Linked DNA regions of Canis lupus familiaris. Each later gene encodes a partner of the first gene's protein in a complex. Links are inferred from orthologs where the notes say so. Each region holds a gene or a part of one and is shown in the gene's direction. Other genes may lie near its edges.

Region 1 (10,586 bases):
GCCCCCGGGGTCCGCTTCCCAGGAGCGTAATGCGCAGGCACGCGCTTCTTTGAGCTCCGTTGCAGCATGGACCGAGGTCCGACTCACCAGGAGTGGAGTTAGGGGCAAACGTAGCTCTGACTCCTTTAGGCCACATCTGACTTCCTTTACTCCTCCGGTTCTCCTGCTTTATTAGATTTGCAGCGTAGTGTCACGCCATGGCGCTGGTTTCATGATGTACGAGAGCCTAGAGCGTCCCGTGCGGTGCCCACGGCTGTGCGGGCTCGGGCTCGGGCGGCAAGAGCGGCAGATGGACCGCAGCAGCGCCTGGTATTGAGGACAGACGCACGTCGGAGTCCTTCCCCCGATGGCAGCAGCACGGCTACTCCCTGGACGTGGGAACCGTGTCCCGGGCCAGGTCTGGAAGCCGCGTGTGGAGACGGCCAATGCGGCGAGGCTCCCGTGGGGAGTCGGCACACACGCGACTGTCAAGTCACGTCCGACGTTCTCAACGCGAAGGAAAGCAATGACTGAAGAGGGTTTCCAGGTTGCAGCGCATGCGTGTGCAGGTGTTTCTGGAACACAAGACCAGAAGTCATTACGTGGGCAGGTCAGCCCTCGGCGCTGGAATGAGGCCCGGTGCCCCCACCGGCAAGCGGCCTGTAGGTTCATTTGTGGGAAAACGGGTCTAGTTAAAAAACCGCGTGGTGAGTAGTGGTTTCAGCCTGGGGCCATTTTCACGTCCTGTCCACCGTGTAGGACGAAGCCGGGAACAGGAACAGGAAGCCTCAAATGCGCTGCTGACAAAGGACCCGACTGCCCCCCTGCCGGTCGCTTTCATCTTGAGTTTGCATTTGGTGGAGGAGGAAATAAAATCAGAGCCTCTCCGTGCCGGGCGTGTTCCGTGTTCTGGAAGCTGTGTCCGCTTGAGCAGCCCCAACCAGCGCCCGCGGTCGGCGTGTTTTTACTACATTCGGAGTCACGTTCAAGCATCATTCCATCTCATCTAGAGGGATTTTCCCTGAGCGAGTTGTTAAATTTGGAATCGGCGGGGCTCGTGAGTGATGCTCGGATGCGGACGCCCACAGACCTAAGTGGTCTTGCATCACGACGTTGAGTGTGTGGCTTAGGGGCTCAGGGCACAGGGCGAGTCGGGGGGGGCATGGCTCGGGGCGCCTGGACTCAGTCCTGTGACCCTGTCGCGCTCGTGTTCGAAGCAAGAGATGGTGTCGCCGTGGTTGGGAGCTCCCCCGCCCCCCGCGCCAGAGCTGGGCTTCCTTTGGCAACTCCGCACGTGAGCTCCGGCTGACAGGCGACCTCACATCAGCTTCGGGTGCAGCTGGACGATCCAGTGTCTGTACCGATGGTGACGCGACCACCACGGCGAGGTGCAGGCTTCTGTTTTCTCGTGATGAGACCTTTGAAGGTCCACTGTGTTGGCCACTTGCAAGTGCGTGAGACGACGGTGTTGGTGTTGGCAGCGTGCCATGTGCTCCGCGGGACGGGCTCGCCGTGCGGCTGGGCCGGCCTTGGCTCTCTGCATGTATCCAAACCGCACCCCGGCGCGTTGCACGGGGCCGGGAGAATGAAGGGCGGCGATGGGTGTGAAGCGTGGGAGTGAGCGTAAGTCCCTCCTCCGGAGGCTGGGCCGAAAAGGAGAGCCCCGCGGGATCCCCGGGCACCAGGGAGGGGACGTGCTCCCTGCACGCATAGTCGTGCCCCACTTTAATTTCCATATTGAGATTCACTTTGAAGTAAATGCCCCCGAGAGCGAGACCTGTGAGCCCGTGATGAGAATGGGGACCAGGGTCCTACAGGGCGGAGGGGCGCCCGGAGGAAAGGACTTGGACCTGGGGGCTGGGCTGGCGGTAGGGAGGGGACCAGCGGCCCGGCGGCGGGCGGGTGGCCAGAGAGTGAGGACGGGGTGGGTGCCCACGGCCCCCTCCGGAAGGCGCTGTTCTGGGTGCAGATGCTGCACGAAACCAGCGCCCGCCCTGGAGCGGCGGCCCCCGCGTTCCTGACGGCGCAAGCCCCATCGGGGCTGGGCTCAGTGCGGTCTGCTTGCTCTGATGAGGAATTTGCGAGCCTGCAGTGAACCGTGTTCTTCTCCAGGAGCCGACGCAGCTCAAGGCGGGAGGAGCGAGTCCTGGAGGAGACAGCAGGCGGCGGGGGCTCCCTGCGGGGCGCAGGCCTTGCACCTGTGTCCAGGGGCTCTGTGCGCGACCTGTGCTGTGTCCTGGTCCCGCCGCCGCCCCACTGAGAGGCCCTGGACGGGGTCCGAGCTGGGATCAACACCCTCCTGTCGTGGCAGTGGGCCTCTGGCCGCGTCCGTCTAAGCGCCCTCCTGTGCTCCTCTCTGCCCCGCAGCTACGCGTCCCTGATAGCCGACTGGCCCGTGCTGGTGCTGGGCATGTGCACCCTGCTCATCGTAGTCTGCGCCTTGGTTGGGGTGTTAGTGCCGGAGCTTCCCGACTTCTCTGATCCACTGCTGGTAAGGAGAACTCAGCCCATCGCGTCTCTGTGACCTCAGGGAATTAAGTATCTTAATACATGTTGCATTATGTGACTTCTATCCTGTTTCCCCCAAACCTCCTCGAGTCACCAGGAGCTTGCAGTTCTCCTCCTGAAAAGTAAACCCATGTCCTTCAAGTCTCAGGTTCCTAAGAGGTCAACGGACTTGCTCTCACCGACAAACCTGGAGGTTTTCCTCCTTGGCTGCCACGTTTAAGCTAAAAAGCAGTAAAATGGAGAATCTGAATTCTATAAAAATGTTCTCATAATGTCTTTAAGACTGAATGTCTCCCTTTCTCCCCCCGCAGAGCAGTGAAAGGAATTTCAGCATCACAGAGAGATGATAGCAGGGTCTGTTTTTTGGGGGTTTGTTTTTGTTTTTGTTTTGTTTTGTTTTTTTGTTTGCAGGGTCTGTTTTTAAGTACATGTTCCTGTAAAACACTGCATGACATGGTCTGATGTGACCATAATTTTTTGTGACATCCAAGTAAACACCTGCTAATTGCTTAGGTGTGATCTTGAAAGAGAAGCTTCAGATACAGTCCCCCCACCGCCCCCCGCCCGCCTTTGCTGAGACGGATCACGTACCAGGGAGCCTAACCGCGCTGTTGTGGTGAACGGAGGCCACCGACGGGTCGGGCCACCTTCCTCGGTGCTGTTCGTCCCCGGGCAGCTGCGAGCGCGTCCCCGCTTCCTACCGAAGCCACACAGCATCCCAGCACCGCGTCCCCAACCTGCTGGGACCCTACTTACCCTGAAGCAAACCGCACTAATAGGAATTTGTGATATTTTGTCTCAGGGTTTTGAGCCAAGAGGGACTGCGATAGGCCAGAGACTGGTTACGTGGAATAACATGGTGAAAAATACGGGATACAAGGCAACGTTGGCAAATTATCCATTTAAGTACGCAGATGAACAAGCGAAAAGGTAATTGTTTATTAACTTTCACACAAAACCTTGCTGAATGAATTTGACTTCTAAGCATTGCCCGAACAAGATGATTAAGCTCGAAGTCTTTGCTGCTGATTTGTGTACATTCTCGTTGTTTTTTAAGATTTTGTTGTATTAAGGTAAAAAGAGTGAGGGTTTGGTTTTTTTTTTCCCTTTTTATAGATGTGAGAAAATGGATGTTGGTTGCTTATATGCATCCTTTTCATTTCAAGTAGGTCATGACTGAGGGTAGAGCGTTACAGGTGTGCTTGTTGGCCTTGAAACAGCTAGTACTTTATTATTTTTAAGTGTTTATTATCGCGTTGTGGTTAGTTCCGGGCGTAGGACAGCAGTGAGACACGTTTACTCTATGCCGGCTCGCCTCCATCGCTGTTACATAGTTGCTGGCTGTGTGCCCTGTGCTGCTGACGGTACTTTACTCAAGACCACGTTGTTGTTCCGTTTCAGCCATCGGGATGATAGATGGTCAGATGACCACTATGAAAGAGAGAAAAGAGAAGTCGACTGGAACTTCCACAAAGACAGCTTTTTCTGCGACGTTCCGAGTGAGTGGCATCCCAGGTGAACAGCCCCTCGGGGCTCCTCGCGCTCAGAATGGAGCACGATTAAATCCAGACTGGTGGGAAGACGTGTGGGGCACTGACACAGATAGCAGTGACTCGTAGTTTTACTTCCCAGGGTCAGTCGACCACTAAGCTGGATTTATTTGCCTGTAACAAAAGTCAATAAGAGATTTAGTTTAAAGGGACACAAAATATCTAATGAGATTCTTGATCTTGCCCCAAATTCCAAGTCATTTTAAATTTTTTACATTATTTAAAAAATATTGTCAGGTACATATTTTTGGATTGAACCCCTAAAATAATCTACTATCTTAGAGAAATATACTTTTCAAGTCTTATTTCAGAGAGCATATATATATATTTTTAAAATATTTTATTTATTTATTCATGAGAGACACAGAGAGAGAGAGAGAGAGAGGAGCAGAGACACGGGCAGAGGGAGAAGCAGGCTCCATGCAGGGAGCCCGATGTGGGACTCGATCCTGGGACCCTGGGTTCACGCCCTGGGTCTAAGGACATGAGGACCTACAGCTTCTCCCCCAGCGAATCTTCACAGCAGTGCTGTTTTGAACTCAGCTCTTTAAAATCTATTGAAAATGCCCCCAAAATGTGTGCTTTCCTGTCCTGTTAGCTCTCTAGCAGGCCTCACCGGGCCTCTGATGCTTCTAGGTGTAGCTGAGCCTGCGGCACCCACAGCATCAGGCAGGCGCATAGTAGGAGGTCAGGGACATTTTGTCCTGGTCCCGGGAAGGAGCGCACATGGCTTTTTCTGCACTTTTAGAAAATCTGAGCTCTGGTGAATGTCCAGGCTGCTGGGTCTGTCTCGGAGTGGCAGTGTGCATCCCCAGACCGGCCTCCCTTGGCCAGTCCCCACACAGGCCAGATGGGGTCCCTGCAGTCCACACGCACACCCCACCCCTGGCCAGGGCTCCGCCTCGAGGGGGAGATGGCTGTTTCCACGGCCTTGATTTGCTCTTTGGAGTCCACATAGGATAATGGCCGTCGGGTGAAGAGTTCGCTGAAGGAAACCTCCTGGTGGTGAATAAAAGCTCGCGTGGTAAAGCTTTATTCACACGGTCACAGGTGGCCGCAGTGTCGGCACAGCCAGGCGAACTCGTACAAAGTCCCCAGGGCGGACGGAGCGGAAGCGGCGCTGACGGCTCAGCGATGTGTCCTTGGGTTCCCGTGCCTGAGACACGCGTGCCTGCAATGGGGGGCAACAGGGGCGGCAGGCTCCACGACTGGCCTGCGTCCGCGCCATCAGAGCAGTGTAGACCCTGGCCCCTCGGGTCCGGCGGGTTGGTCTCAGTGCTTTTAAACTGACCCCCTGCCGTCTGCCCCCGGCTGACGTCCGTGGAGAACAGCTCAGCGTGTCCTCCTTGGGCTTGTGCCGCGTCCTGGTGCCGCGTCTCCCAAGTCCGGGTTCTCTCGGATTGCGGTTGCTAACCTGTCCTGGACGGCCTGCAAGCCCTCGGTGTCGTGGGTAGGAAGGGACCCCGCTGCCAATGGCCCGTCCTGTGCTCCCCCAGTAGGGCTGCTCCTGGATGCTGAGTCTGATGATGGGAGCGGACAATTATGAACCTCTGTCTTTTCTTTTTCATGTCACCAGGTGACCGGTACTCCAGGGTGGTGTTTGCGTCAGCCGGAGGGGACACGCTGTGGAGCTTACCTGCCATTAAGTCCATGTGCAGCGTGGATAACTCAAGGGTATGTAAAGTGACCCTGGCGTACGTCTCGGACAAACGAGCTGGCATTCGTGCCGGTCGCTTCCCTGCTGAGCCTGGTGAGCGCGGGCGGAGGGTGCTCGCTGGGGCCTCCGTCCTGGTCGCCTGCGTGTGCGCCCCGGGATCCTGGAGCCCCCGTGTGGCCCCCACGGATCCGCCCCCCCCAGCGCAGCGCCCCCTCCTGTGTCCCACGCGAGTTTCCTCCCAGGGCAGCAGTTCAGACGCTGGCTCTCCTTTCCCGGGTGGTCTCTCCTCAGCTGGTTGCAGGGTTTCCCCCGTGTCCTCGTCCCCACAGCCTCTCTGGCAACCAGCGGGTCTCGGGGCAGGTTCAGGGCACGGGCGGGGAAGGGGATGTCCGGGCTCCAGCGTCTGTAAGAGGGGAGTCCCTTGCAGATGGAGGACGCGAGATGGTCCGTGGAGCCTGAGTGGTGGGGCCAAGGCCCCCGGAGAGCGCACTCTGCTGCCGCTGCCCCCGCACCTGCCCACACACAGCCACCGGGGAAGGAGGGCGCCACATGCCTGGCGTGCGTCCTGCGTGTGAGCTCACCGACAGCGGGAGATGCACTTGCACCCGGGCCGAGAGCTGGCCTGGGCCTGGTGCTGTTGTCTACACCGCACACGGGGCTCCTCAGGGGAGGCCGGGCTCCTGGCGGTCAGCGGGCCGGCTCCCCGGCTCCCGACGCGACTCTCCAGCGGGAGGACTGTGTGACCTCCCTCCATCAGGCCGGCCGGGTTTTCCGCACGCGCCATCTGCTCTCGGCTGCGCCCGCACAGACTCAGACCATCTGCAAACAAACCAAGTTCCTGGATCACTGGCCAGCGTCTGCCTGTTGCGTTGTCTCCTCGTCTGCAGCTGTCAGTTCGTCACCCGGAAGCTGGGACATGTTACAAGCCATGCGGTGTGGACCGGTGGCCCGGAGCAAGCGCAGGGCCCCCTGCTCGGCAGCGCCCGCCCCTGCGGGGTCCTGTCTTCGCAGGTGGTGAGGTGACGCCTGTCCCTCCCACCACGTGTCCCTTCCGTCCTGTGTCCTTGTGCCGTTTCTGCTCGGGGTCTTCCGGGAGTCCTCACGGCCTAGAATGTGTAGCTGTTTGAGCTGCGGCTCACTGTTTGGTGCCTCCAGGCTCGCGCGCACCCAGACCCTCACCCGTCCGCTGTGGGTCACGTCGTGACATCCTGCAAAAGTCCTCAGCCGACGTCGGGGGTGGCCCTGAGCCGTTCTAGCCGCGTCTTAGGAGGTGGCAGGAGAACGTCGAGCAGCAGCTATTCCTGCAGGAAGTCAGCGCCGTGACGTCCAAGTGCGTGGCTTCCGGCCGGCCGCGCTCAGTGGCGTCTGCGAAGGGAGGATGGCCCGGATGCAGCGCAACAGGCGAGCAAGCCGGGCAGTCTCCCGGCCACCGTGTCCTTTCACTTGCGGTTTCTGCCGGTTGCGCAGGGCAGCCGCTCCCCGCAGGCCAGTCCTGGGCCCCCCTCGGGGTCCGGCTCCACACCCGCCGAGTGTTTCTGGGACCTCGAGGCCGCTGGAAGCTCCCGGGCTCCTCAGTCCTGCCCTCGTGGAAGTCCGCGCTCAGGCGGCCAGCTTCGCAGGAGGGGTCTGAGGTCACAGCGCCCGTCTGCGGCGTGGGCTTTGGGGCCCCCGGCAGCACCTGCGGGCCGGCCTGTGGCACGTGAGGACGGAGGGGCCCCATAGCAGGACGCGCTCTGTTCCCGTCCTGCTCTCAGCCTTCCGGTGAGGCTCCCGGTAGCCGGCAGTTTACGGGTTAAGGCGTCGTCTGAAGCTCTGCAGCCCACCCCCGCCGCCCTGTCTGGCCCCGGCACAGCCACGGGGTGACCCAGCTCCCCACCCTGCACAGCCCGTGGCCGCCCCATCCCCCGAGCTGTGAGAAGTCACTTCCACTCCCCCTGCGGCGCAATCATGGATTCGTTCGTCTCTCGAGCTGCATCCCCGTGGGTTCAGGCACCAGCGTCCAGCTCGGGGCCACGGCGGCCGTCTCCGTCCTTACTTCTGGGCCCGTCCGGGTCCTGGAGGACCATTGGCACGGTCGCCCGTCGGCCACCTCTGCCTGCAGACCGGGCCGGGCCCACTCTGGATGGCGCTTGGCAGGTGACCCGCCGGTGGATCCGCGTTTATCGTGTCACCGTTGAACCTTTGGCCAAACCACGCTCACTCGCACGCAAACCCTGCTGCCATTTGGAAGGTCATCCGAGGCCCATTGTCTTGGGCTGTGGCCGGCAGCCCTGCTCCCTTCACCGCCAGCGCCTGGCTCCCGAGCCCTGGACGGTGCCCCTCTGCGCGGCCACGGCCTGTCCACCCTCGCTGCCCCCGACCGAGAGCCTCTGGCGTCGGGGCCGCCCCCCTACCAGACGCAGCAGGCCGACGGCCGCTTCCCCGCGTCCCCGGAGTCGGCAGTGTGGACGCCTGCGCCCGGAGGCCACCGGAACTGATGACCCTGTGTCACAAACGCCAACTAACGGTGGCTCTTCAGAAACGAGCTGGCGGATCAGGCTCTTGGGGTGACACCTTAGTCCCCTTGGAATGATCCCCCTTTCGGCTCACTTGTCTTTACCGTCCACAGAGATGTGGGCAGAGCGAGGCTCAGCCCCGCAGAGGAGACACAGTCGCTCTGGCTGCGGAGGAGGAGGCTGAGCCTCATGCACATGCGTCCGGGTTGTGTGGTGTGGAGGCCCGGACCCCCTTGGCCTTGGCGTTGTGTCTCGGTTTCCCTCCCGCCGTGGAGGAAAGGCTGCGTGCACCGTGGGTGCACTTTACCAGATGAGCTCAAAGGATGCACACGTCGTCGGCTGCCACTCAGTATCCATCTCACCTGCGTGGACGGATGGGACTGGGCACCGCGGCCCGTTGTGCTCATTGCTTGGGGATGCCCTTGGCTGTGGCCCCGCGCACTGCGGACATCGGTGTCTGGCGTCAGCCGGGGGCTCGCTGGTGCTCTTCTGGGCAACCGTTTTCTTGGCTTTCCGTTAAGTTGGTTGCATTCGTGCCTTTGTCGCCCGGAACCTCAGGCCGATGACCGGCGGTTTTGGGCCAAGGCAGCAGCTGGCGTCCTGTGCCCTTGAGCCCCCCAGATGGAAGAGCACAGGCCCCGCCGTCCCTTCCTTTGCCCTGAAAGTGCCTTTGAAAAGGCCAGTCTCCTCGAGAGCTGCTGGTTTTACCTCCTCGTTAAGACCAAGGCCACACTGGAGGTTTTTTGGGCACTTTGCCACCTGGAGGGACGCGCCGGGGGGACTGTGGGGGGAGGCTTGGGGGAGGCCGTGCACCTGCCCCCCCCCCACAGGCCTTAAACGCTGGTGTCCGCGTGTCTCTCTCTGCAGATCAGAGCCCACCCGCAGTTCGGCGACCTGTGCCAGAGGACCACGGTGGCGTCCTGCTGCCCCAGCTGGACGCTGGGCAACTACATCGCCATCCTGAACAACAGGTCGTCCTGCCAGCAGATCGTGGAGCGGGACGTGTCGCACACGCTGAAGCTGCTGCGGGCCTGCGCCAAGCACTACCGCAACGGCACGCTGCAGCCCGACTGCTGGGACGCGGGCGCCCGCAGGAAGGGCCAGCTCAAGTGCAGCGGCGTGCCCCGCAAGTGCGTCAAGTACAACGCCGTGTACCAGATCCTGCACTTCCTGGTGGACAAGGACTTCCTGGCCCCGAAGGCGCCCGCCGCGCCCACCGCGCCCACGCTGAGGTACAGCATGCTCTTCTCGCCCACGGAGAAGGGGGAGAGCATGATGGACATCTACCTGGACAACTTCGAGAACTGGAACGGCTCCGACGGGGTGACCGCCGTGGCCGGGATCGAGTTCGGCATCAAGCACAGCCTGTTCCAGGACTACCTCCTGACGGACACAGCCTACCCGGCCATTGCGGTGCTGCTGGTGCTGCTGGTCATGTGCGCCTACACCAGGTCCCTGTTCATCACCCTGATGACCATGTTTGCCGTCATCAGCTCGCTGATCGTGTCCTACTTCCTCTACCGCGTGGTGTTCAACTTCGAGTTCTTCCCGTTCATGAACCTGACGGCGCTGGTCATCCTGGTCGGCATCGGTGCGGACGACGCCTTCGTCCTGTGCGACGTGTGGAGCTACGCCAAGTGCGACAGGCCGCACGCGGCGACGGCGGAGACGGTGGGCGTCACCCTGCAGCACGCAGCGCTGTCCATGTTCGTCACCAGCTTCACCACGGCCGCTGCCTTCTACGCCAACTACGTGAGCAACATCACCGCCATCCGGTGCTTCGGGGTGTATGCAGGCACGGCCATCCTGGTGAACTACGTGCTCATGGTCACGTGGCTGCCGGCCGTGGTCGTCCTGCACGAGCGCTACCTCCTCAACCTGTTCAGCTGCTTCCGGAAGCCGCAGCCGCAGGTGTACGACGGCAAGAGCTGCTGGACGGCCGCCCGCCGGAAGTGCCACAGGGCGCTGCTCGCCGCATCCGAAGCCTCTCGCGTCTTTTTCGAGAAGGTGCTGCCGTGCGTCGTCATCAAGCTCCGCTACCTTTGGCTGCTGTGGTTCCTGGCCCTGAGCGTGGGCGGGGCCTACGTGGTGTGCGTGAACCCCAAGATGAAGCTGCCCTCGCTTGAGCTGTCCGAGTTCCAGCTGTTCAGGCCCTCGCACCCCTTCGAGCGCTACGACGCCGAGTACAAGAAGCTCTTCATGTTCGAGCGCGTCCACCGCGGGGAGGAGCTGCACATGCCCATCACGGTGGTGTGGGGGGTGTCCCCGGAGGACAACGGCGACCCCCTGAACCCCAAGAGCAAAGGCAAGCTGGTGTTGGACGGCAGCTTTAATATCGCCAGCCCCGCCTCCCAGCTCTGGATCCTGCGCTTCTGCCAGAAGCTGAGAAACCAGACC
Region 2 (11,233 bases), on another chromosome or scaffold:
CCAGGGGCTCTGTGTGACAGGGACAGATCAACAGGAAGGTCCCCACTCCAGGACACAAGCACATCCCCTCGGGGAGGGCAGCACCCTGGGCACACCAGCCTGCCACGGCTTGCTGAGCCAAACTGACAAGAGAAGGACTGGGATCATGTAGGGATGGAATGGGCCCTGGGACATCATCTGTGCTCCTGCTGCAGAAAGTGCTGGGAGCCCAGGGGACGCCAGGGCCCCCCCACCCAGGGCCAGGAAGCATAGGCCTTACAGGTCAGGGTGGCCTCCTCCCCACTGCTGGCCTGGGTGATGGAGACACAGATGCAGGGAGGCCAGCCACTGAGCGGACCCCTGTTGGGTGGCCTCGGGGCAGGCAGGGGCGCTGTGGCCTGTATTCACCTGCAGGTGGACTCTACTCATAAAGGGACAGCGGGGCTCTTCCTGCTGGGGAAGTGGGAAGTGGGAGACTCAGATCCCCCGAGTCCAGGGATGGAGCAAAGGCCATGGGGTTGGGAGAACAGTTCTGGAGGGTCACATCCCTCCAAAAATCAGGGGTCCCGGCTGCAGCCACAGTACTTCAGGTTGCCAAAGTGAGACCCAATTGGAGGGAGGAGAGATGGAGTAGAAGTCCTACGGGGAAGAGCAAGGGAAGGGAAGGGCTGGGAGGAAGTGTGAGCCTGCAGCCCTAACTCAGGTCTCAGGAGCACCCGCCCTGGGGAGAAGCGAGGCAGGCGACAGCTTCCTGGGGTGGGGGGCAGAGCTCCAGCCATGAGGCCTAGTGGGGACTGATGTGAGCAGAGGGAAACGAGGGGTCACAGCCCTGGGGAGGGGGCCGGGAGGGGGAGGGGGCCTCAGTCTGGTCTGCAGGATTTCCCAAACTGGCCGAGCCACAGCCTGAAGGCAGAGTGAGGAGGCCATCTAGTGGCGGGGGCCGGTTGGGAGGCGGGGGCAGGCCCAGGAGGCGCCTGGGGGGGTGGGGGCAGAAGACAGGCAGCCACCTGTCCGCAGCGGGGATGCTGGTGAGGGCTGGAGGGATGGCGGGGGAGGGGGAGGGGAGGAGAGGAGGGAGGGGCAAGGCGCCGGGGGGGGGGCGGGGGGAGGGATGGTGGCCGGTGACCCTCTGTGCCCACAGTGAGAAATGGGTCCCTGGCTGGTGCCGGAGGTCTGGCCAGGTCAGGCCGAGGCTGGGGTTTGGAACCTCTGACCTCCGTGGGGAGGGGCCCCCCCATCGTCTGGAGGGGAAAGGCAAAGAGAGGGAGCCATCTGGTGTCTGGAGGTGGAAGACAGCATGTCTGGTGTCTAGAAGTGGGGAGGGGGCGGATGATCGGAAGGGGAAGTGGGGGGCTTGCCGGTGCCCTTGCTTCTGAAGCAATACAGATACACTACAGTTGAGTTTTGTCCAGATTTCCCCCCAACCCACAGCAGGGAGCCTACGCTGGGAAATAGGGTGTCGATGGTTGTTTGACCATCCACCGTCACTTCATTCCTGAGGACAGGCCAGTCCTAGGGCAGGCGGCCCCTGGCGGCATCTGGGGTATCCTGGGCTGGCAGTGAGATGGAGGGGCATCTTGGGGGCAGGAGGCCAGCAGGCCTGGGACCCCCTGGTCGCCCTGAGGAGTGCAGTGTCAAGGCATGAGCCCTTCCTGCTCCTGGCCCAGAGGCAGCCTGCTCCCTGTGGCTCAGGCTCAGGCTTGGGCTGGGGGTCTCCAGGGTCATGCAAGGCACAACGGTGAGTGTGGGGCCTGGATACCCACACCTTTGGGAATCATGTGTCCTAGGCACACACCACCGAGCTGGCCCTGGGCTCCACATGGGGTCGCAGGCCCTGGGCACGAGGTCATGACCCAGTGCTGGGGCTCTTTCACCTCTGTCTAGTTGGTGAGGGAGAGGACAGAGGGAAGAGAAGGGGGAGAGGAGGGGACCCGGCAAGGGTGTGGGGGAAGGAGCCCAGAAGGGTGGAGAGCCCCCAGTCCCCAGGGCTGGGCAGCTTCACAAGGCCGCACCACCCAGTGGCAGCCCAAGACCTGAGTGTCCTCTCTGAATCTGTCTACTGGGAGCACAGACGCACAGACACACACAGCCTGGGCAAGAAGTCTGGCCCTTTATCATCTGCATGGAGACCCTCCTTCATCCGTAGGCCTTGATAAAACTGGGTGCTGCCTCCCCACCTTGCCCAGGGGTGGGCGTTCCCCAGAGAATGTTGATGATGGGGGTTGGGGGCCAAGCCTGGGGGGACCACTGGGGACCTGACTGGCAGAGCCCCCATATCCACTCAGCCGTTTCAAGGCCCAGTTGGATGGCTGTCAAGGTGCTCCCCTGCCCACCCCCCTAACCAGATCCATCTGCACTGAGGTTGGCCTGGGCTGCTCCGGACATCCCATTGTTTTGAGGGCCCAGCCTTCTTCTTAGACCTGGCCTCTCCCACCTCCCTGGCTGGACTGGGGTCCAGGGACACTTCTAACTTCACAGAGTAACACTCCAGGACCAACACCCCCATTCTCCAGGAAGAGCCCTCCCTCCCTTGCTCTTTTTCTAGAGCAATTCCTATATATGAGTGAGATGGGGGTGGGGAATGAGAAGAGGCTGTGTTCTGCAAAATGGGGGGTTTCAGGTTTTATTTTTCTGGTTTAAATAGCACTTCTAGGTTTTTTTTTTTTTTTTTTTCCTGAAAGAAGCACAGGGACTGGGGACTCCAGTATTACGGGCTCTGAGGACTGTGCCCTCCTTGACCAAAAAATGTGCCCCCAGGCCCCTTCCCCATAGTGAGCTTCGGGCCCCCAGGACCCTGAGGGCTGGCTCACAGAGCCCCATGGAAAGCCCGCGGCCGATGTGGAAGGAGCCTGAATTCCACATCAAGCTCATCCCTGGCCTGCACTTTGCTCGATCGATTGATCAGTGGGGGTGGTGTGTGCACAGCCTTGCCCACTCGCCACTGCCCCCAGGCACAATGGGCCTCCGCCCAGCACGCAGGCCCTAGCACCGGCTCCCTCCTCTGAGCTGGGGTGCAGCACCCAGATGCACTTGGCCCAGCCTTCTGGACAGTCCCTCAGGCCACTCTGTACCAGCCCCGGAGCCTGCCTGCATCCCATTTCCAGGGGGTTAAAAATAACGACTTAGCTGAAACACAATAAAGGAGCGGCATTTTCATATTTGTCTAAGGCACCTAAAGCACTTCAAATAGCCGTGCTGGAAGTTGTGGTCAGTGAGAATGACCACCGTCCAAGGATGTTGAATATTCAGGATGAGGCGCAGACCCTCTGTCTTTAAAATGCAGGGAGACTTGGCCTGCATGATAAAGTCTCCAAAAAAAAAAAAAAATTTAAACAGGACCCGGGCAGCTTTGCCCCTCAAACATTTGAGAGAATATTTGTTTGATGACTGAAGCTTGGAGGGGGGGTCTAGACTGTCCTTTAAAACTTAAGTTGGTTTTAACTGAAGCACCTACCATTCTGGAGAAAGAGAAGGGGGAACACCGCGCTGTGCACAAAGCAGGAGGTAACTAGTGTTATCCTAAGGAGCGTGCCTCCTCCCTCCCGCCCACCTTTGTCTCAGGAAAGATTTTTTTTTTTTTTAACTCAAAGGCTTCAGGTGAAAATAAAGCAACTGCAGCCACAGAAAAAAAAAATTTAGTCTTTTTTAGGGTTAAACATCAGAAGACAAGCTTGCGCTGCTTTGGCCAATCAGATACGCCCCTGCCAGCTATAATATAGCACCGAGGGCAGCCTGTCTCGCAAGCTCTCCAGGCTTGCTACCATTTAAAATCAGACTCTTTTTGTCTTTTGATTGCTGTTTCCAGCCCTAACTCCGATGTGTTCCGTTATCAGCGGCCAGCAGCCTGCCACTCCAGCCCCCGTCTGGGTGGGGATCGGTGGCCACTCTCCCGCAGCAGCGGCGGGCGAGGTTATATAGGAAGAGAAAGAGCCAGGCAGAGAGCGAGGGAGCCAGCAGCAAGCCGAGCGAGGAAGGGAGAGCGCAAGCCCGAGCGCACAGGCACACATACTCGCACTCGCGCACACAGACCCGCGCGGGGACGGCGTGGAAGGCAAGGCACTGGGCTCCGCGGACGAGATGCTGCTGCTGGCGAGATGTATGCTGGCGGTGCTCGTCTGCGCACTGCTGATGTGCTCAGGGCTGGCGTGCGGACCCGGCAGGGGATTTGGGAAGAGGCGGCACCCCAAAAAGCTGACCCCTTTAGCCTACAAGCAGTTTATCCCCAACGTGGCGGAGAAGACCCTAGGGGCCAGTGGAAGATACGAAGGGAAGATCTCGAGAAACTCGGAGCGATTTAAGGAACTCACCCCCAATTACAACCCCGACATCATATTTAAGGATGAAGAAAACACGGGAGCAGACCGGCTGATGACTCAGGTAGAAACCCAGCGCCGCGGCGTGGAATGTACTGCTTTCACGGGGGTTGTGTGTAACCAGCCGCTCCAGACCCAGTCTGTTTGCTCTTCAGGCAGATAGCAAGGCGACTTCACCCTCTCCCTCCCCACCCACCTGCCTGCCCGACATCCCTTCCTCTTCTCAGAAGGGAATGGAGGCCAGGGGTCCAGCCCGAGAAGTTTAGGGTGGGGGTGGGGGTCAGGATGGCAGACGTGGTCCACCGATGGCCCTTGTTTGCTCTGTCCTGCCAGGATGGCCTTCCCATCCTGCCTGGGCTCTGCCTTGTAACTTGGGGAGACCTTCACTCTGGGGGTATCCGCCCCTCCGGAGTTGGGAATGGACATGGTGGGAGAGGGGCAGAAATCCCCTCCATACGCATAAAGTAGCTTCCAGGTCACTGTACAAATGCAGCCTAGAGCATTAGCCTTAGGGGAGCGGACACGTTTCTCCCTGTCCACTGTGCTTTTCTCTACCACGGCGACCCCCACCCCTCTGCCCCCCCCAAAGACGCTCAATGGGGAGAGCCCCGAGGCCGCGCTGACAAAAGGCTGGGGCTCCCGAGGCGCCACCTGGCCCCCGAGTGTACAGCACAGCTCCGCTGCCATTCGACCCCGGGCAGTGGTGCCCATCAGAGTGTGAATGTATTGATATTTCTTTAAGGATGCGCTTCCATTCTCCCGAGCCCGAGCCCGCGGTCCTTGAGGGGAGGGACTTAGAACTTCCTGGCATTGCATCACTACGGTCAACCTGCTGGCACGGGACCCGGAGCCGCGGCGAGCTGTTAGCGGGAGGGGGCTAGGACGATGCAGAACCAAAGCCAAACACGTAGCCCCCTCCCTCCCCACCTCTGCCTGAGACTTCGGGCTCCCAACCCCTCCGCCAGCCCTAGACTTTCTCAAACTCCATGCCCGTATAACTGAAGCTAGAAATGGATTTCCTGGCAAATATAGGTCAACATCCTTTTTATTGCCCTATTAAAATATCCAAGTCCTACCTTTCGGGCTAGGAGCGCACCACAGCTGGCGGAGCCGCGGCGGTGGGGCGCGGGGACCGAGGAGGGCGCGCGGGGAGGGGAGCCCCCTCCGGGCCGCTCGCTCCCCAGCGCGGTCCCAGCCGCGAGGCCGCAGGGAGGAGGGAGGGGAGCTGCCGGGAGGGGCCCGAGGGAGCCGGGGACGGGGTCTCCATGCCCCGCTCGCGCATCTGCTCGCGACCACCTTAAATCTGGACCGCGAGTGTGGACGCGCGCGCCTGTGCCGGAGAGCGGCGAGAGCCACAATGAACCGGGCACAGGCCGCGGGGCGCCGGGGGCGCGGCCGGCCGCGGGGAGCCCTCTGACCTGGGTCACCTGGCTCCCCCGCGGGAGGGAGGTGGCCTTCCCGGAGTCCCTCGGAACCGGGAAGGCGGGAGGCGAGGCCGGGCCGGCGGTGGGGCGCGGAGGGGTACGGGGAGGGCGGCGGAGGTCCCACAGCCCGCGAGGTGGGCGTGCGCCCCTTGCCGCCGCGCGGGGCCCACGCGGGAGAGGGATCCCCCGGGGCCCCGCCGCAGGTCACAGGTCGCAGGTGCGCGAGCGCGCGGAGCCGCGCCCCCCGGCGGCCGCACCTGACGCCCCTTCCTCCCGGGTTAGCGGTCCCCAAGGCCGGGGCTAGGGCGCGGGGCGCGGGGCGCGGGGCGGGGGCCGGGGTGGCGGCGAGGCTCCGACGGGCCGGACGGTCGGGAGCTCCGCCGCGCTCCCGGGGGCCCTGGGGCCTGGCGCCCCCGCCGAGCCCCGGCCGGCCCCTGTTCCGGTCGCCCGCCGGGCACCCACGGCCGAGCGGCCCCGCGCCGGCCACTGTCGCCGCCGCGCGCGCTGGCAGCATTTGAACTTCTGACCTTCTGTCAACTTCCCTCAGACGAACGAAACGAAAACAAATACTTTTCTTTCCTTAGGCAGTGGCCATTCCCGTTCCCGGCACAAAAGGACGGGGGAGGGGCAGCCAACGTGGGGGTGGGGTGGGGAGAGCCTGGCTAGGACGGTGTCACGCACCCCACAGATGTCCCCCGAAAAGGCGGCTGGCTGGTGGGGTGGTGCCGGAAGGCGCCCTTCCTCCTTCCCTGGTTCCAAGAGTCGGGGAGGACCGGGCGGCGAGGGGCAGGGGCAGGGGCAGGGGCAGGGCCGGGGGCAGGGGTGCAGCGGGGCCGCCTCCTGGCCCCCGGGGACTAGCTCTGCTCGGGACCCTTGGCCCGCTGGCCGCGCACTCAAAGCCACCACGGACATCCTGTCCCAGGTGCGCGTGTCTCTGCGCCCCGGGCCAGCCGTCCCTCCGCGTCCCCGTCTCTGCACTGTGGCCGCCGCCCGAGTCCCTCAACCATGGCAAGACCGTCCCCGGTGGAACTTTCGGAGCAGTTCTGGAACGCATGAGCTCCTGGTTAATATTAACTCGGAGAGGGGGAAGCGCAGACAGACACGCTCGGCCCGCAGGCGCGGGTGCCAGGCGCGGGCGCGGCGGCCGGGGGCTCGGGGGGCAGGAGGCGGCCGCCGGGGCAGGGCCTGGGGCCGCAGCGGGGACAGCCCGGGACGCCACGCCGGGTAGATCCCCGTGTGCGTGGCGGCCCGGGCCCGCGCTCAGGTGTGGGTTCCAGGAGGGCGCTCCTGTTGGGATAGGACGGGTCTGTTTCCTCGGAGGGGGTGGAGGGGCGGAGACAGGTGTGTGTGTGGGGGGGTGTCTCTTTTGAAGTCGGGACACCCCTCCCCCGCGCCGGGACGGCCAGGCGCCCTGTGGCGGTGACAGTCCCGCCCGGGCGGGTGGGCTCGGGGCGGCTGCGCGGCCCGGGGGTGGCGGGGCTCGGCGCGAGGACGCACTCGGCCTCCGCCGACACAAAGCCGGCCCCGCGGCCCCGCTGGGCTTTCCGGTGGCTGCACAGAGCCCGGCTTGATTCGCAGCACACGACCCAGTGAATGGCTAACCGGCCTGGGCGTCCCAGCTTCGCCTGCGCCTCTCCGGCCGGCGGGGGCACCACGTCCCGCAGGCGAGGGCCGAGGCCGCGCCAGGCGGGGGGCGCGGGGGGCGCGGGGGGCGCGGGGGGGCGGGGGCGCGCGGGAAGCAGGGCGCAGCTCGGGCCTGGCGCGGCCTGGGGCTCCTCGCCGGGGGTCCTCCATCCACCCCATGCCCCAGGGGCGCAGCTCAGGGCGCCTGCGGCGGGCACGCGGCCTCCCCGCGCTCCCTGCCCTCACCCGCCGTCCCGCGGGGAGCCGTGCGGGCCCCCTCTGAGCCCCGAGAGGAGCGAGCCCGGGCGGCGCGGGGCTCGGGATGCGGGAGGTGTGCGTGTGCGTGTCGGTGGTGCGCGCCTGCGCAGCCGGCCTCCCCGCCCGGCTCCGAACTGACCCCGGTTTACTGATTGATTTTCATGTAAAACGCGTTCAATCCTCAAGATGACCTCACTCAAACTCTGCCCCTCCGACTTTTTTTTTTTTTTTTTTTTTTTTAAGAAAACTGCTGGCAGGCCCAGAAACCTGCCAGCGCTGACCTGTTACCAGGGCCGCCCCCCCCCCCCCCATTTGTTGGATGTTTAACTCGACTACCGTACTGCTGGTTTTATTGCTGTCCGACACGCAGGACGTTTCCTGTTGCGCAATCTCCACATCCCCGTAGAGCGCGGACAGCGGGACCGCGGCAGCTCCCCTCGCTCAGCAGGAAAGCAGTCCCCACGCTGTTATTAGGATCCCCGACCGGGTCTTCCTTCCTCCCCGCCTACCAGGTTCCAAAGCCGAGCATGCGCTGCGGGAAGGAGACCAGCCCTACCCTCTGCGGGAGGTCAACTTGAAATTGCCCCGCGTCCCCCAGGTCTGCGTCTCTTGGGGATGCCCCTGGGGGATCCTGCCACCACTCCCCCTCCTGTGAATCCCGCGTCCCCGTCCCTGTAAGCGCCCGGGCCCTGAGCGGGTACCCACGCGGGCGCACACGCTTGCCATGGCTCTGTTTTTTCTAGCATCCTTATCTGAATGTGACCCGAGACTCAGGCGGGGACTCCCCTGACCCCGAGTTTCACTTCGCCCCGGTTCGTGTCCTGTGCACTCAGTGTTTCTGCACATCCACGGCCAGAGCAGCTTCCTCGGGGAGGGAGGGGCACTCCCCAAGGGCTCCGAGGCCTCGGGCCTTTCGGGCTCCCCCTCCCCCACCCCTCCTGCCCCGCCCCCTCCCTCCACCTCTTAAGTTTGCTCTTCAAACTAGCCGGACGCCATTCTGCTCGGGGCCAAGAAAACAAGGGGTGGGGAGGGAACAGGTTAAGGAAAACAAGAGACACAATCAGACCACAGAAAAGCCGGAGAAAAGAGGTCTATGGGGAAAAGGAATGTGGCTGTCCAGATAAAGAATGTTTGTCGTTAGGCCTGGCCCGCATTGAAAATTATTACTCACCTGCTTGCCTTTCACTTCGGGCCCCTCCCGCCCCGCCGGCGGGGCTATCGGCTTCCCACCCCCCTCTCTCCCTTTGGCGGCACCCACGCCTCAGATAGGCACAGGGTAGGAGGGAGGGTCCAGAGATAACCCAAGGCTTTCGCTCTTTAAGAAGCATACCGCGCACGTTCTTTATTTCTGCCAAGTTGCGCCCTGGGCCTGGCTCTGGCCTCCCGGGGAGGGAGTTAGGCCGGGCACGAAGGTGGAGCCTCGCACAGGTGTGCAGAAACGGGGCCACCGGAAGGGATCGGGAGTGGAGGGCAGCGTGGGGGAGGGGGCCTGGCAGGCCCTGCCGTGACCGTGGGAGACACACTTTCCTTGTCTCAAGAAGAGTCCCCTCCTTCTCAGGCCGTGGTGGGGGCTCTGCCAGTCAGACCTCACAGACAGGCCCTCAGTTTACCTGCAAGAGGACTGGCTCCTCCAGCGGATGCCCCCCCCTCCTCCCACCTCAGTGCTCCCCGGAGCCTGCCGGCCCCACCCAGGCCTCCTCCCGACTCCCCACAGAGTCCTAACCCTCAGGGACCCAGCAGGGCAGCCTGCAGGGCAGGGATGGGGGTGCAGACCCGGTACTAATGCCCGTGGGGCCCCTTCTCTCCGCAGAGGTGCAAGGACAAGCTGAACGCCTTGGCCATCTCGGTGATGAACCAGTGGCCCGGCGTGAAGCTGCGGGTGACGGAGGGCTGGGACGAGGACGGTCACCACTCAGAGGAGTCGCTGCACTATGAGGGCCGCGCGGTGGACATCACCACGTCAGACCGCGACCGAAGCAAGTACGGCATGTTGGCCCGCCTGGCCGTGGAGGCCGGCTTCGACTGGGTGTACTACGAGTCCAAGGCGCACATCCACTGTTCTGTGAAAGCAGGTGAGGCGGCGGGCCTGCCCTACTCCACAGCCCCCACCCTGTGCCCACGAAGCACCCCCCCCGGCCCACCAGCAGCCCCCGATCTGCCCGCGACGTGTCACTGTCGGGCCCCACGGCGGATGCGAGGGGAAAGGATGAACGTGCTGGTGGAGGGGCAGGGGGAGGGAGGGGCTTGGCTGGTAAGTCAGTCCCTGGTGTGCCAACAGAGCCTGTTGGTGGGTCCCGCCAGCCAAAAGTGGCTCCTACCCTTGAGACCACCGAGGCCCCGAGGTTCTCCAAGCCCAGATGCAGAGGGCATCTGGCTTCCTGAGCCTTCCCCCACCCTGTTTCCGGAGCCCCCACTGCAGGTGGCGGAGACAGGGAAGATGGGGGAGGGGGCTTTCCTGATGAGAGATTGCAGCCCTGCACGGCTGGGCTAGCCGGGTCTGGCCTAGATTCCTGTCTCGTTGAAGGCTGAAGAGCCAACCAGCCCCCACTCGACCCCCGCATTGGAGGCTCTGCCCGGGGTGTAGGCCCCTCGTCCTCTCCCCCACCATCCCCAGTGGGCGTCTGCGGACACTAAACTAACTTAACTCACTGGCTGAGCCTCTGGAGAGAGGCCTGGTGGGAGGTCATAAACCCAGTGGTCACCGCTTCCAACATCCTGAGGCCGCAAGCCCAGAAGCATCCGTGCTTATTAGGAGCCAGCTGGGCTGCCCTGAGCCCGGGCCCAGAGTCTGCAGCTGCAGCAGCGCGGCCTCTGGCGAGCGGGTGGCTTCCCTGGGCCTACAACGCCACTCGCTGTCGCTGGCGAGGAACAGCCATGCCAGGGAGGCCCTGCGCCCATGCAGATATCCCAGCCTGGAGGCTGGTTGTGTGGATCTCTCCATCTCTCAGCAGAAGTCGGTGCCTTTAGCAGCACAGGTCACAGTGAATTTCGGAGGCGCTGTCTTCCCAGCAACCCCCCACCCGGTTTTGCCTATTTGTCTCCCAAACTGTATTTTCATGGCTTGTGTTAGTAGGAAAACACTTCCAAGGTGTCAAGACACACTCGGTAGGGAAGGAAAATAGTGGCCTCTTACCACAACAGGGAGAGAAGGTGTGGGAGGGGCGACCGGAGAGGGGGGGCTGGCAGGCGGCGCCCCCACCGGGCGGGGCTCGGCGACGGCGGGAGGCCCGGGACGCGTTCGTCCCGGGGCCTCGTGGGTGCGCGGGCTGGCGGCGCGCCGGCCCCCTGTGGGGCCAGGCCTGTCCGCGGGGTCCCCCTGGCGGGGGTCCCTAGAGGTCTCCTCGCAAGTGAGCAGCGGTAATCCCGCCGCAGGCTTGGGCGCGGGGAGGGCAGGCCCCCGGGGCGCCGGGAGCCGCTCATTGGCATTCGGCGCACACCGGCCGGGGCGCGGTGCGCGGCGTGTCAAGCAGGGTCGTGCGACAGGACGACTAGGGCTCGCCTGCGCCCCGGGCCGCATTCCGGGGGGCGACGGCGGGCCTCCAACGGCCAAGCCCGCACTTCATGCCGCAGAAACCGATGAGAAGATTAAAAACCCTCTGTAATTCCAGCAGGAAGATTCTTTCTCGCAATCTCTAT

What was found.
Region 2: the proteins of DISP1 (region 1) and SHH are in contact, whole or in part, in a cryo-EM structure (PDB 7E2I), measured with the Homo sapiens proteins. The link is inferred for Canis lupus familiaris from reciprocal best matches to the Homo sapiens genes DISP1 and SHH. Residues at the interface, in NP_001356523.1 of Homo sapiens: Lys242, Thr244, Gly245, Tyr246, Lys247, Ala248, Glu260, His265, Arg299, Phe336, Gly337, Asp338, Leu339, Cys340, Gln341, Arg342, Thr343, Glu459, Arg899, His904, Asp906; in NP_000184.1 of Homo sapiens: Pro49, Asn50, Val51, Thr55, Leu56, Gly57, Ala58, Arg68, Glu71, Phe73, Lys74, Leu76, Thr77, Pro78, Tyr80, Pro82, Arg96, Leu97, Gln100, Lys186.

What each region holds. Positions count from the first base shown.
Region 1 is NC_049259.1:24,588,953-24,599,538, reverse strand, and holds part of DISP1 (protein dispatched homolog 1), read left to right. Parts: exon of another isoform or gene 1-1,602; intron 1,603-2,346; coding exon 2,347-2,470; intron 2,471-3,289; coding exon 3,290-3,417; intron 3,418-3,513; exon of another isoform or gene 3,514-3,888; coding exon 3,889-3,986; coding exon of another isoform or gene 3,987-4,002; exon of another isoform or gene 4,003-4,151; intron 4,152-5,613; coding exon 5,614-5,711; intron 5,712-9,056; coding exon 9,057-10,586. UniProt on the Homo sapiens protein: Functions in hedgehog (Hh) signaling. Regulates the release and extracellular accumulation of cholesterol-modified hedgehog proteins and is hence required for effective production of the Hh signal. Synergizes with SCUBE2 to cause an increase in SHH secretion.
Region 2 is NC_049237.1:19,388,752-19,399,984, reverse strand, and holds the start of SHH (sonic hedgehog protein), read left to right. Parts: upstream 1-3,726; 5' UTR 3,727-4,056; coding exon 4,057-4,356; intron 4,357-7,938; exon of another isoform or gene 7,939-8,201; intron 8,202-9,407; coding exon 9,408-9,669; intron 9,670-11,233.